2 linked regions of the Caenorhabditis elegans genome follow. The protein of the gene in region 2 purifies or fractionates together with the protein of the main gene of each other region. This does not show direct contact. Each region holds a gene or a part of one and is shown on either strand. Other genes may lie near its edges.

The links.
Region 1: the proteins of BE10.3 (region 2) and hcp-2 fractionate together in Caenorhabditis elegans (co-fractionation; one large-scale study listed by BioGRID). This does not show direct contact.

What each region holds. Positions count from the first base shown.
Region 1 is NC_003283.11:9,643,772-9,651,159, reverse strand, and holds hcp-2 (HoloCentric chromosome binding Protein), read right to left. Parts: upstream 5,302-7,388; 5' UTR 5,279-5,301; coding exon 5,228-5,278; intron 5,183-5,227; coding exon 4,581-5,182; intron 4,534-4,580; coding exon 4,032-4,533; intron 3,984-4,031; coding exon 3,696-3,983; intron 3,648-3,695; coding exon 2,253-3,647; intron 2,208-2,252; coding exon 1,944-2,207; intron 1,897-1,943; coding exon 1,334-1,896; intron 1,279-1,333; coding exon 1,056-1,278; 3' UTR 949-1,055; downstream 1-948. Other genes in the region: atl-1 (Serine/threonine-protein kinase ATR), read left to right, coding at 5,706-5,779, 5,827-5,928, 5,977-6,041, 6,086-6,165, 6,214-6,696, 6,742-6,969, 7,017-7,388.
Region 2 is NC_003281.10:12,806,098-12,813,329, forward strand, and holds BE10.3 (FTH domain-containing protein), read left to right. Parts: upstream 1-1,928; 5' UTR 1,929-1,993; coding exon 1,994-2,056; intron 2,057-2,116; coding exon 2,117-2,215; intron 2,216-2,981; coding exon 2,982-3,169; intron 3,170-3,213; coding exon 3,214-3,332; intron 3,333-3,399; coding exon 3,400-3,565; intron 3,566-4,435; coding exon 4,436-5,414; 3' UTR 5,415-6,265; downstream 6,266-7,232. Other genes in the region: BE10.5 (Autism susceptibility gene 2 protein-like), read right to left, coding at 130-207, 352-380, 432-606, 673-705.

The DNA of each region.
Region 1 (7,388 bases), on a different chromosome or scaffold from region 2:
GTTGTTGTGCAACAACAATGGCTGCGCAGCAGCCAGCTATGTCTCGCATAGCTAATGACCTCCTCCAGGGTCATATGGAGTTTTTGTGGGGAGCCCTAAGGCCGCCGCCACCGTGAGTGGAGAAGTCCAGAGTTCCTCTAGGGGGACTGGAGTTTGGAGGCAACTTAATAGGTGTTGCACATCTCCTTCTTCATCTCCACAATTCAGACATTTCTTTATTTGCCTTTCTTCCAGCCGGGCTTTGTATTTCTCGACGAGGAGTGAGTGACCGCATCTTAGCCGTGCCAATTCGCATCGAGTCTCCTTTGGCAGCGTCCTCTCGTCCCTGTAGTTCACTCTTGGTGGAGGTTTGTTGAGAATTTTGTTGTTTGGTGCATTCCTGATGAAGTCCGCTACCAGCTTCGTGTGATTCTTCTTTTGGGCCTCCGTCTTGTCGCCTGGGATGTTGTCGAGTCTGAGCTTTTCAGAGTCCGATAGCTTCAGCGGCGGGATCCTTGGCGGTTTAGAGGTTCGTTCCAGTTGGCGCTTTGCTTCCAGGTCTCTGCACGGGTGCGTGTTTGACTTGATCGCTGCCAAGTACATCTGTTGCGTCGAGAGCTTATATTCTTCTTTCAAAGGGAGAACTCTGCATTCTTGGTAGATGTGGTCCGTCGGCGTGTCCTTCGTTAGTCCAACTCATAACTCCAATCTTGTTGCCGTTGTTATTTTGTTGTGGCCGTCTTGTCGAAGGAAGGGGAGGAGCCTAGTCAACAAGGTAGATCAAAAATAAATTATGAGAAATTTGTGCGATCGTATTTTTTCGATAATATCACGGTCAATTTTTTAAATGATAATCAAACAAACTCAATATAATCAATGATCTGTATTTTTTCGGATTTAATTAATCAATTCAATGCATCAAAGAAGAAGACTATGTAATATAAAAGCACAATCATCTAAATTTAAATTCACATAAAGACATTTATTCTGACCCGGAAAGACATTCACAGTTGAGTAGTGCGCGGAAATACGTAATGGCACACAAAAAGTAAAAATAAATAAAATACGAGTTCAAATTATTGCTGGTTGCAGTTTGAGCGGTTCGCCTTCTTCGACGGCGTTTCAACTGCAGTTGTTTCTTGAAGATGATCATCTGGATGGAGTACCGTAGATGACGTGATAGCATCTGGCGAATGGGAAAACTCTTCTTGGAACGAATCCTGAGCATCTTCGAACTTGTCCTCAACAACAGGCTCTGGTGGCTCCGCATGAGAATGTTCACGACTCAGCGGCTTCACTCTGAAATATCAAAGATTTACATATCTGAGTTTTGTCGAAAATCATGGAGACTTACCCAAGTCTGGCCTGTTGAAGGAGTCCCATTACTTTTGGTGGTTTCTTGATTCCTTTCAATTGCTTTATCTCAGATTGAAGCTTCGAGATGGCATCCTTCAGCTCTCGTTCAACGTCGTCGAAATCGTCACACACCTTCTCGAGTCGTACAATCTCCTTCTGGGCTCTTCCCAGTTGCTCCTCAAGTTCCGCTATTTTGGATAGTGCTTCTTCTAGAGCCGCTGATTGCTCGTTCTTCTCTTCCTGGATCACAGTTATATCATGCTGAGCTTGCTGCTCCACTTCAACTGCGTATTTGTCCGATGCAACCAGCTTCTCATTCATTTGTTGAAGTTGTACTTGTAACTGAGACAACGATTCAGTCAGTGTACCGACATTCATGGCTTGGGTCTTCCAAACATTCGATGCTTCAAGGCGCTCCTCGAACTGCTGAGACATCGCTTCGATTCGAGCTTGGAGAGTGATAATCTCTTTTTCTTTCTGAGCAATCATTTGTTCAGCATGACCAAGCTGCTCTTTGTCTGCGGAAACAGTTTGGTTGAACTCGTTTTGAAGTGATGTCCTCTGAAAAGAAATAAATTATGTTCTGTTCGAAATTCGAAAGAATATACCTCTGTCTCAAAGTCTTGCTTCAGCTTTACCATTGCCTCATTCGCCTCAGATATCTGAATGTCTTGTTGATGTTTGACGTCTTCTACATCTTGAAGAGCCTTCTGTGCAAAGGAGATGGAAGCTTCAAGCTCTTCGATACGAGCAGCAAGTTCATTTGACTGGGAACGGGATGTTTCCGTGGAATGTTGAGCCGATTTGAGCTCGTCGAGAGTCAATTGAAGCTGCTCCTGCTGATCACGATGTTTCGATACTTGAGCGATTAGCTGAAAAACAAGTTTAATTCGACTGAAATCTTAAGGAATTTAAACCTCTTCTTCTCTTCTCTGAACTTTAGCTTCGGATACTTCTAGGCTCTTTTTCAGTTCTTCCATCCCTTCAAGAGCATCCCCAAGCTTCGCATTCAGTTCATCAACCATTTCCTTGTTCATTATCTTAGCTCCAATCAGTTCTTCCTTAACATTTTCCACTTGGGATTCTCCGACGACGAGTTTATGTTGAAGCTCTTCTAGTTGAGATGCCAACGCCACCATATCCCTCTTGTGACTAGAATTTAGTTTTTCATTCAGAGATTCGAGAACTTCAGCATTTTGTTTGAAATTTTGAAGGTCCAATTGAAGTTGTTTTATCTCTTCCACAGAGCTTTGTTGAAGATCTTGAGCAGACTTTTCCGTATCTTCAATTTTCAACTTCAGCGTATCCACCAGTCTCAGAAGACCATCTTTTTCTTGAACTGCAGCATCAACCACTGATCGAGAAACTTCTTGTGATGCCGACAACTCCAGTTGAAGGGCTTCGAAAGATTCTTTTAAAACCTCACTCTCCATCACTTTCTGACGAGCATTACTGACTTCTATCTTGAGCATCTCCAGAGAGACCTGCAATTCTTGATTCGTACTTTCTGCAGAGTGCAATTTTTCCTTCAAATCATCAATCAATGATTCCTGTTGATTCTTCAGATCTAGAATTTGTTCTTCAGAGGAGGCCAAATCAGAGCGAAGTTTTTCGTTGGTTTCCTCTGCTTGCCGAATTTTTCTCAAATAATCTTCAAGGATGTGTTTTTGGTCTGCGGCGGAATCTGACTGCACTCGAACTTCAGCTTGGAGAGAATCAATAGAGGATCTCAGCTCAATAACTTCTGCTTCCGTCGACATCAACTTGCTCTGAATCTGGTACTTTTCTTCTTGATGTCGAGCCGATTCCTGGTGCATGACTTCAGAAGTCTCGCGAAGAGATACAAGTTGCTGAATTTGTTCCTCCTTCAATTGATCACGAAGCTTCTGACAATCTTCTTGAACAATTTCTAGCTTCTTGAGCTGTGAACTTCCAGTTTTTACAGCTTCTTCTTGTGCCAACTCCAATTCTTTAATTCTTATTTCCGCCTCTTCCAATTCAACTGATGTTTCATGTTGAATTTCTTCTAGTTCCAGTTGAAGACTGCAAACTTTATCCACCGAAGCCTTATATTCTCTTCGCATTGTTTCCAACTCAGAGACTGTGTTTTCAAGAGCAAGCGAATACTCATTTTGTGTAGACTCCGAATCCATTAGAAGTTTATCGCTGGCCTCAGAATCTTGACGAAGAGACTCAATGGTAGTCAATAGTTCACTGATTCGAACATCTTTATCTTCCGCTTTACGATGTGCATCGTTTAGCTGACCTTCCATGTCCACCAATTTTGCATTTTCGACGCGAAGGCTATTGATCTGAAATAAGAAATATAGTGCAATTATTTCTAAACTCGAACTACGAACCTGTTCCAGGAGTTCACCGTTTTTCTGAACAGCTTCCCCAATTTCTGACGTGGCTTTCTCTTTCACTTCTACGAGCTCTGACTGAAGTTCAAGCATTTTTGAAGTCAAATTGCAACAGTCAATTTTGAGATCATCGAGAGTCTTCTGAAGTTCTTCCAGTTCAGTAGTATCATTCTTCGGTTGAAGAGCAGACATTTCATTCTCAAGACGATGGATTTCATCCAACATCAGTTTACGAACAATTTCATGTTCCGACTTCAGAGTTTCAATTTCAGAGTTGGAGAACACCTAAGAAAAAATATAATTAATTTTCAGGCAAGATATTAACTGCATTACCTCTTTGTTGATCGTTGTCTCCAATTCCACATACTTCATCTGTAGTGTCTCAATGTCTTCCTTAGCCTTTTGCAGTTGTTCATCAGCCTCCTCTTTCATTTCTTGCAACTCCACAAACTTTTTTTCGTAGTCCTCAATGCTGTGTTGCATGACATCAACCTTCAGTGCTTTGTCAGTAAGCTCTTCACAACGACTCTTCAACTCTTCCAACTGATGTTCAAACTGTAGTTTCTCTCCGTTCGGCTCCGTTAATTTCATCTCGAGCTCTTCAATCCGTTTCTCAAGAAGTTGTTCCAGAGTTTTTGCAGCTTCGCGCTCAGATTTCGTCTTTTTTACAGCCTCCTCCACTTGTTGCATGAGCATTTTCTCTTCAACTTCACGAGCTTCTTTAATTTCAACAAGAGTTTGTCTATGTTTCTCTCCAAGAAGTTCAATTTTCAATTGAAGATCTTTAACGACTTCATCATGCTCGATATTTTTCTCCAGCATTTCGAATTCATATCTGAAATAAACAATTTAACAATGGGAATAAATTTAAATTAATCTTACAAAGAATATTCAATTCTCGATTTTTCATGCTGAGATGTTGACTGAACTGACTCTACAGAAGTTGACTGCACAACCTCACTCTCGATTGGAATTTTCGAACGAAGTGGGGAAGGAGCAGTTGGTGTACTTTCGTCTCCAACTTGTGTCTGGCTCCGAAGTGGTGTTGACGGAGTATTCTCTAGATCTTGAATCGTTGCTTGTTGGAAGAAGTCGTTCGCCAGTGTGACGTCACCATCAGTCGCAAAACTCTCGTCAGCAATGCTACAGTCTTTGCTGATGCTGTCTTCACTGTAAACCTTCGTTTGTTCCAAATTAGGATCGACATCATGAGCTGAGGAAGCTCTTGGCGGTTCACAGACACTGTTATCATCAACGGAGGTATTTGGCGGGGCGAGTGTGGAAAAATTGGAGATTGAAGAATCATCAAGAATAGAGTCGGAGGTACTGGTAGACGAATGGCGCGAGTCTGGCTCAATGCGAGTTTCTTCAAGATTTCCATCGGCCAAATTCATAGCAGAACGCCCGAAAAACCTTTTCGATTCCTTTCCGAGACGCGATTTCGGTGTCGCAGCAGAAAACGGAGATTCAAGCTGTTGTCGCTTCTGAAATTGTTTTGCTTTTGATAAATACAAAAATATTTAATTTACCTTCCCAGTTGCAGGCTTGTTTTCATCGCCGTCGTTTGTACTTTCCTCCATATTGAATTTGATCAAATTCGTCTGAGAATTTACGATAATGAGTTGGGGAATTGCACTATTGAAAAAAACAGTCCACGTTTAACGAAATAAAACGAAGTGAATCTGGAACTTCACGAGAAAATAATAATTTTCAACAAAACAATACAAAAACTGGAGCAATCGTTTAAAATTTCGCGCCGTTTCAATAGGGCGAGTTTGTATTTGCAATGCAAATTCGAATATATTCGATCCAATCGAACTCTATATTTTGCTTAATTTTTTTTGCGGAAGGAATTTATTTTTAAACTTTGTTCGTTTCCTTATTTTTAGTAAGTATTAGTGAATTCTTCATAATATTATCACAAAAACGTTAGCAATATATTTTAAATATTGTTAAATATCCATCGAACCACTGAAATAACGTGCGCAGGCTTTCAGATATTTGGGAATGAATATCGATAAGGATGTTTCAGCTCTGCTATGTACGGCGAAAAAATATGTGACGCAGAAAGAATTCAACAGGTATAATTATTAAATCTTATCTTAACTTTTTTATTTTACATTTTCAGACAAAAAATGAAATTCTTGTTAGATGACATAACTAAATTGTTATCGAAATCTTTCGTTTCCCGAATCGAGCAGTTAGACGAAAATGAGTTCATGGAAAAGATGTGAGTTGGAAAATGTAGAAGATGATGATTATATTTATGTTTTTTCAGAATGATCCTTCAGAGTATAACATTTACATTACATTTAATAACAGAGAAGCAGGAACTTTCTTCAGGTAGAAAATACAATTTAGTATTTGTATTAATATATTCGTTCCAGAGGAAAAAATAAGATTATTTCAATCAGTGATTGCGTCGATGTGTGCCTTTGAGGATGAAGAATTGGCAAAATGTTTTGACGTTAGCAAGAATTATATTCAATAATTCAATGTTTTTTATTTATTTCAGCGAATTCTATCAGTACTGATGATCTCTGTGACGAAACAAGACCCGAGAGAAACTATTTATTTCCTGCAAGGATTACTGGAAGTTGTTAAATATTGTGACGTCGAACCTTCGTCTTCTCTGCCACAATTAATCACTCCTGAAATTGCTTCAGCTATTTCATTAGGTGCCTCAGGATTTTTTAGATATCATTTGAAGTGGAATATCATTTCAACTTTATTCGGAGAAAACGCAGGAGAATGCGTTCATTTCGATGAATTGGTTCTGTTTTGGCCTCACTGCCGATCACAGTTGGAAGACAAACTGAAAAATGATTGCTCGATGACCGAAAATTGCTTGCGTGCTGGATTGACAATCTTAAAATATAAAAAACTGCACAATTCTATTCTTGATCAGGCCCTGTTCATTGATGAACTGTTTGCCACATTTAACTCATTAACTGCGAAGAAGTCGACCAATCACATGACGTTTCCAAAGCTATTGAATGTAATTTCATTTTTATACTTCGAATGTATAATTTATCAATTTCAGGAGATACAACACTTTCTACAGGATCATGGCAAAGTTTTGATTATGCATAAAGAACTTCGACAAAAACCAGTTCAATGGCTCATAATTTATTTAGAGTTAATCGATGATGCAAATGACAAGTTTGGACTACTAGAAAACTTTTCCTTGTTGTTGTTAGATTTATCGACAAACCATGATATACATGAGTTTCCTGCGAGGCTATGTATGACAGCAAGTGAGATTTGCATGGTGAGTTAATTAGAATATTAAACAATTAAATCTCGGAATTGTTACAGCGGCGAATCAAACACTCTATTCAAAGTACACACACTGATTGCCTTGCTGATTACCTGGACATATTGGCGTCTCTGCTGAAACTTGCTCGAATTCAGAAACTAGACATTTTTCAATGTTTTGCCACAGAGATTGAGGCTCATCATTCCCTCAACAATCCGCTTTGGCCACGAATTCTTAGATCTCTACTCAGTGTACAGAATCCTCATTGCCAGCAATTCTGCAAGAAATTCGTCCCGTCTATAGACAAATTGTGGATCACATTATTGAATGGCGAGTCATCGAGAGCTACTTTAAACTCTCTTGTCATTGTGACTGCGTCTTGTCCATTTGCCAACAATAACGATGAAGGAGTGAAACAAATTATTCCATTT
Region 2 (7,232 bases):
CTGTATATTTGCTGGTTAATAATATTTCAGTTGAACGACCCAAACCGAAAAAAGGCGTGCAAAAAGCGTTGCGGGCGGAAATGTAATGCACTTTATTCAAGATCATTAATAAATTTTCCAAAGGACTATCTACATGAGTTGGTCATCCGTATAGAAGGGTTCCGTGTGTTCTCGAATAATTACCAAATCGGGCATCTCCTCGGGAATCTGAACAAATGAAAAGGTTAACTCAAAAAGCCTGGCTGACCCATCACGGTTTGATCTACCAAAAATGCGGGAATTTTTCTCCGCATTTTCCGCATTTTTTGTAGATCAAACTCATATGGGACACCCGGACACCACGCGACTTACATTCGAAACGGTGTCATCTTCGCGGACTTCTGAAAATTAAAATTTAATTTTTTTTTCGAAAGATTACAAAATCAACTTACTTCTCGACTTCTTCTTACTGAAACGAACATCCATTGGAGCACTTTTGCCGCTTTTCAGCTGCTTCTTCTCGGTCCGCCTATCCGGAGTGAGTGGGGCCCCCGGCTGAGCTGGCTGCGGAGCAAGCGGCTGGTCATGACGATTCTCTCCTTTTTTACTCGAATCAACTGTATCTTCCTGAATGAAAAACGGTTTAAAAAAGGCCTGCCTGCCTACCTGCCTACTAGCCTATACTTGACGTACCTTACTCTTAGTTTTCCTTCTACAGAAGCACATATTGTCACACCTTCAATACGATATTTGCTCACAGCGATACAAATTGAAAATTTATGAAATGATTGATTTTTTTTTTGAATTTCAATAAATGGGCATTTTTATCAAGAATTAGAAAAAAATAAATTAAGAAAAAAAAATTGACGTCAAATTATTTTTTAATTTTTAAATTTAAAAATGTCTTAAATTTCACGCCAACCGGTTTTGCCTGGACATAACGCCTGCTTGCCTTTTCGCCTACATAACGCCTGCTGGCCTTCTTGCCTAGATAACGCCTGGATGCCTACATACGTGCCTTCTCGCCAACACAACGCCTACTTACCTACTGGCCTACACAACGCCTGTTTGCCTTCTCGCCTATATAACACCTGGATGCCTACCTACGTGCTTACTCGCGTACATAACGCCTACTTACCTACTGGCCTACACAACGCCTGTTTGCCTTCTCGCCTATATAACACCTGGATGCCTACCTACGTGCCTACTCGCGTACATAACGCCTGCTTGTCTTCTTTCCTACAAAACAGTTTTTTGCCGACTCGCCTACATAACGCCTGTTAGCCTTCTCGCCTACATATCGCCTGCTAGCCTTCTCGCCTACATAATGCCTGTTAGCCTACTCGCACGTACAAAGTCTGGATGTCTTTCCGTCTACATTACGCCTGCTAGCCTTCTCGCCTACATAGCGCCTCATTGCCTACTCGCCTACATAACGCCTGCTAGTCTTCTTGCCTTCTTAACTCATGCTTACCTACTGGCCTACATAACTCCTGTTTGCCTTCTTGCCTATATAACACCTAGATGCCTACCTACGTGCCTACTGGCCTACATAACGCCTGCTTGCCTTCTCGCCTAGACAACGCCTGGATGCCTACATACGTGTCTACTGGCCTACATTATGATCATCTCTCTGCCTACCTACGTGCCTATTTCAGGACTGCCGATACTTTTCAGTTTTTGGAAAATCTAGCATATCCTTGGCAATGTTTTTAGTTTTGATTTGATGAAATGTCCTAAAAAAACAATATTGGGAAATGTTTCTCAATCAAGAGGTGCACCAATCTTCCCGGTCACACAAAAAACCTAGCTACAAACCTAGCTACATTTACATATCGATCTATTCTCGACCAGATAGTGCTCGGTAACCTCCCCAGAGCCTGAAAAGGGCCCGATCAATATAATGACGTAGCCGTTTTCATTGTCTGTTCTATCTCCCTTTATTCTTATTTGAACTGCATTCACCTCTCTAATGAGACCTTCTGATTCGTTTTGCTGTGGAGACAGCGACTGCATGCTGCTCAACAGTTTTGTGTACGGATATCAAATTCCGGAGATTTTGATGAAGCCTACTGATGTAAGATTTTTATTTTATTACAAAAAATAAATAATTTAATATTTTTACTTCAATTTTCAGAACGTCGAATTAATTTCCAAAGTTTTTGAGAACGTGAAAATTCTTGAAAAAATATTGGAAAATGTTTCGACAGATGCGATGGGCAAATTAGATCTAAGAGTGAGTTCTGTAGAAAATTAAAATTCTCAGAGAGAAAAATATGATAATTTGGCAGGTAATTCAAATTTTCTGAAAACAATTTTGGCAGAAAATTCAATTTTTTTAATGATAATTTTTTGGCGGGAAGTTGAAATTTTTTGAGAACTTTTATTGCAGAGAATTCAAATTTTCTGAAAACAATTTTGGCAGGAAATTCAAATTTCCCGAAAAAAATCAGGCCGGAAATTTTTTGTAATTTTTTGAGAACAATTTTTGGCGGGAAATTCAAATTTTCTGAGAAAAGATTTTGGCAGGAAATTCAAATTTTCTATGACAAATTTTTGGCGGGAAATTAAAGTTTTTGGAGAAAAGTAATTTGGCAGGAAAATCAAATTTTTTAAGACAAATTTTTGGCGGGAAGTTCAAATTTTATGCGAAAACAGTTTAGTGGTAAATTCAAATTTCCCAAAAAAAATCAGGCCGGAATTTTTTTGTAATTTTTTGAGAACAAATTTTGGCGGGTAATTAAAATTTTCCCATACCAAATTCAGACGAGAAGCTCAAATTTTTTTTGGCGCAAAATATTGGCGGGAAATTCAAAAAATGGATGTAAATAGTCTAAAACTTCTAGGATCTTCTGGAAGCTTTTTTTCAACCTTGAAGCTTTTTGAAGGTTTAGGAAACCCAAAGAAAAGAAAAAAATTTATTTAAAATTTATAATTTATGGGCTAAATCAAAAAAAAAATGGTCCAAGTAACACTACAGAATTTAACGTATAAATTTCCAGCTAGTCAACAAAAACATCAACATCGCCTTGCTCCGTAGAATCCGACAAGAGCACCGAGACGTGCTCATCAGAGGAGCATCCGATTGTCGATTTGATTTGGAGCAAGATGCTAAGCAAAACTGTCCAGATTGTTCAGTTTTTATAAATCCACAAAGGGTGACTATGGAAAAGTTGGAGGATTATTTTCGGTGAGTATATATATTTTTTATATTGTTCAGAGCACATCTTTCAGATTTTTGAAAGAAATCGCTGGAGTCAAAGTTCGAAGAGTTGGCGTCGAGGATGTTGCAAAAATTTGTGATCAGAGGGAAATCCATGATAGGGTCATCAATTCTTTGATTGGCAATGATGGTTAGTTTTTACTGATTTTGTTTTGTTTTTCAAACCGTCCCAAATGCATTTAAAAAAAAATTTCCAGACCAACTCGTAGAGGAATTTTTCGGAATGAATGATATCTGCAGTGGATCAGATGAGTGTGGAATTATTGGCGGTCGATGTAGAAAATATGGTCCGATTCAGGAGAATATTTTCGATATTACACTGAAAACACCACATCATTTTGAGCATTTAGAAGTTTCAGACACGTAAGTTCAGTTTGAACAGTTAAATTGAGATATTGAGTTTGGGGTTAGTGAAGGGACATGGTTGTGGTACTGTAGGATTACTGTAGGGGTACTGTAGAGGTAATGTAGGATTACTGTAGAGATACTGTACTATTAGTATTGTGGGGATACTAAAGGGGTGCTGTAGGAGTACGATATTTGTACTTTAAGGGCGCTATAGCGAAAGTGTAGTAGTACTGTAGAGGTAATTTAGGGATACTGTAACAATACTGTTGTAGTACTACTGTAGGGGTAATGTAGGGTTACTGTAGGGATACTGTACTATTGGTACTGTGGGGATAATATAAGGGTACTGTAGGAGTACGGTATTTGTACTATATAAGAATACTGTGGAGTTACTTTAGTAGGACTGTAGAGGTTTTGAAGGATTACTGTAGGGATACTGTGATATTAGTATTGTGGAAATATCATAGGGGTACTGTAGGAGCTCTGTAGTAATACTACAGGGGTACTGTAGGAGTACCTAAGATATAATGTAGTAGTACTCTAGGGATACTGTAGGGGTACTGTAGGGTACTGTAGGATCACTGTACTTTTAGAAAAATAGATTTTGTCTTTACTTGGAGTATTGAGTTGGTGTTAGTAAAGGAATATGGATGAGGTACTGTAGGATTACTGTAGTTATACTATAGGGATACTATAAGGATACTGTAGAAGTACTGTAAGATTACTGTAGGATTACATAGTTTGAGAAATAATGATTTTTTGTCTTTTGATGGGATATCGAGTTGGGTTGGGCTACTGTAGGATTACTGTAGGGGTACTGTAATAGTTATATAGGAGTACTGTAGTAGTTATAAATTCTATAAATTATACTTGTTTTCCTTACAGACTCCTACATAGAATCGTCTTGTCGCTTGCCGATTCGTCGCAATCAAATTTAGCAGTAATTGATAAATATATAAATTCAAGAATTTCATGTGATTCCCTGACTCTGATGCCATCAATCCTACTTGGAACCAGGAAATCGTGGATTCCATGTCAACTCCAAGTTATGCGACAAATCGTAGAGCTGATTGTGGTGAAATGGAATGTGAAGAATTTGAGAATTGAGTTTGGAGAGTTGCCAGAACTAGATCTAAGTTCTGGAGACTTGGATTTGAACCAGAAATTGATTGGTTTAGAATTTGAATCTGTAGCTAATTATTCTTTGGAAAACCTTGATATTTGCCTGGAATTCAGTGAACTTCTCGCTGATGAAATGGAGCAATACCTGAAGTCACCTGAAGAACCTTCACCAATTGATGGATTAATTTCAAATGTTCAAAAAATATTTTCCACTAAATTTTTGACTCTGGAACTTCCCAAGGCATACATTCTCATGACACCTTTCAACTTGAATAAGTTCATCGGAAAGTTCATGAGAATGATTGAAAGCTCTCCGAGCTCTCCGACGATAAGAAATTCCAAAATAACAGTCAAGCTTTATCCAATGAGCTCACAGCTTATTTCTAGAACAGCTCCAGTCTTCAACTACAGAACACAGAATGTGCCGGAGATTTTGAATTCTGGTGCTCGGCTTGTCTCCGGGCCAATAGATCAAATTCAAAAAAATTCAAAAGACTACTTTCACCTGAAAGATATAGTCTCAATACCAGACGATAGATCAATTGGATATCGAACTCAAGTTCATATTTGGAAGGGAAGAAGGTTTTGTTTGGAACACGAAATGGCCAATTGCACGATAGATTTTGAAATTTATTTTGAAATTGAATTTTTGGAGAAGTTCTTCAGGAAGAGGCCTGATGTTAAGGGAGCTGGATTTTTGAGACATTTTTGGACACCTGAGTTACTGGTGAAACATTTTTAATTTTATTTGTTTTTTTGTGTTTTTTTTTGTTTGATGGGGTTATTCAAGTAATGTAGCAAAATGTATTTAAATACATTTGTGACGTCAGAAATGTATTTAAATACATGTTTTTATATACTTGAATACAGTTGTGACGTAATTTTTCTACACTTTTTAATTTTCCGACATTACTTGTTGAATAACCCCATAAGGGTAGGGTAGCAAACATTATTGCAAAATTTTTGAAAAGTGGTATTTACCGAGCTTTTGCCACTTTTCACAAAGCTATAACACTGTTGCATTTTTGAAACCCAACAATTAGGGGCTGCAAACGTTTTTTTCCGGCAAATTGGCAAACCGGCAAATTGCCGATTTGCCGGAAAAATTTCGGCAAGTTGTGCTAGTGCACATTTTTTTTTGGAAATCACTGTATTTCAATTTTAATCGGCAAAATTGTAGACTTCCTATGAATGTTCCTACATCTATTTTTAAAAGTAAATAAATTCTATGAAAATTTGCAGAAAACAAAAATTTCCGGCAAATTGGCAACCCGGTAATTTGCCGAAAATTTGCCAAACTGCAATTGCCGCCCACCCCTGGTTCGAATATTAATTTTTTTGATCGATGACTTTCAAAAATGTGGAAAAACTGAGATTTTTTCAATTTTTAAAAAATCATATAAAATGGCAAAAAATTTTTACTATAATATTTGGCAATTCTGCCCCACTAGCGCAATTCTGCCCCACACCTCATCTTTAATGAAAAAAATTTTTTTTTTTCAAATTTTTCATGTTTTTTCCTGTTCAATTTTTTCTGAATTTGTTTCTGATTTAAGTTTTTAATTGCTTCATTTTTTAAATAAATTAATTTTTCCGTTTTCAAGAAAAATCCTTGTTTTTCTTAAATTAAAATTTTGAAATTTTTAGGCGCACCGGCAAGTTTTTGGAAATATCACCCAGACGCAAATTGCGCAAAGTTTTGTGATTTTGCGGAATTTTCATCAAATTTTCTTCAGTTTTTTAAACATAACACGGCCCGAGAAGTTGTGCCTGTACCTACCTGCGGTACCTACCGTACCCCGGCTACGTTTACGCATGTTTTTCAAAAACGGCAATTTTTTTTACGGCAATTAATTTTAAAAAATGACAAAAAACGATTATCTTATTTTCGTAGATGAAGTTTTACCATAACTCGCTTCACGGATTTCTGGCTTCCCTCATAAATTGAAATGGAAGAGTTAGGCCAGTTTGGCTCGGTCATATCTGGGGTAGATTTACGGCGCGTTGCGTGTCGCGTCGCGGCTCGATTTTAGTTGTAAAACTAAATGTATTTGTCCGTGTGGAGTACACGACTTTCCGTTGTCCGGCGGGCGATTTTCAATGGAGCGGTCAGAACCTCGTGTCGCGTCTTAACCAGGTCATGCTTTGTGTTCGGTAGAGCGCATTTACACTGATGTACCGTTTGCCGGGCCATGACTCATATTACGATAACACAAAATTTTTGAGAATGCGTATTGCACAACATATTTGACGCGCAAAATATCTCGTAGCGAAAATTACAGTAATTCTTTAAATTGCTACTGTAGCGTCGATTTACGGACCCGATTTTCAAAAATAAAATTGAGCCCGTAAATCGACGCTACAGTAGTTTTCGCTACGAGATATAGTTATATTTTGCGCGTCAAATATGTTGCGTAATACGAATTCTAAGAATTTTGTGCTCTCGTAAAATGTTCCCGGAAAATTTTAAATTTTCTGGAAAACTGTGAATCTTTTTTGTTGTTATTTTTCGTAATTTTTCAATCATAGCCAGCATATTCCACACACACACCTAATTCCA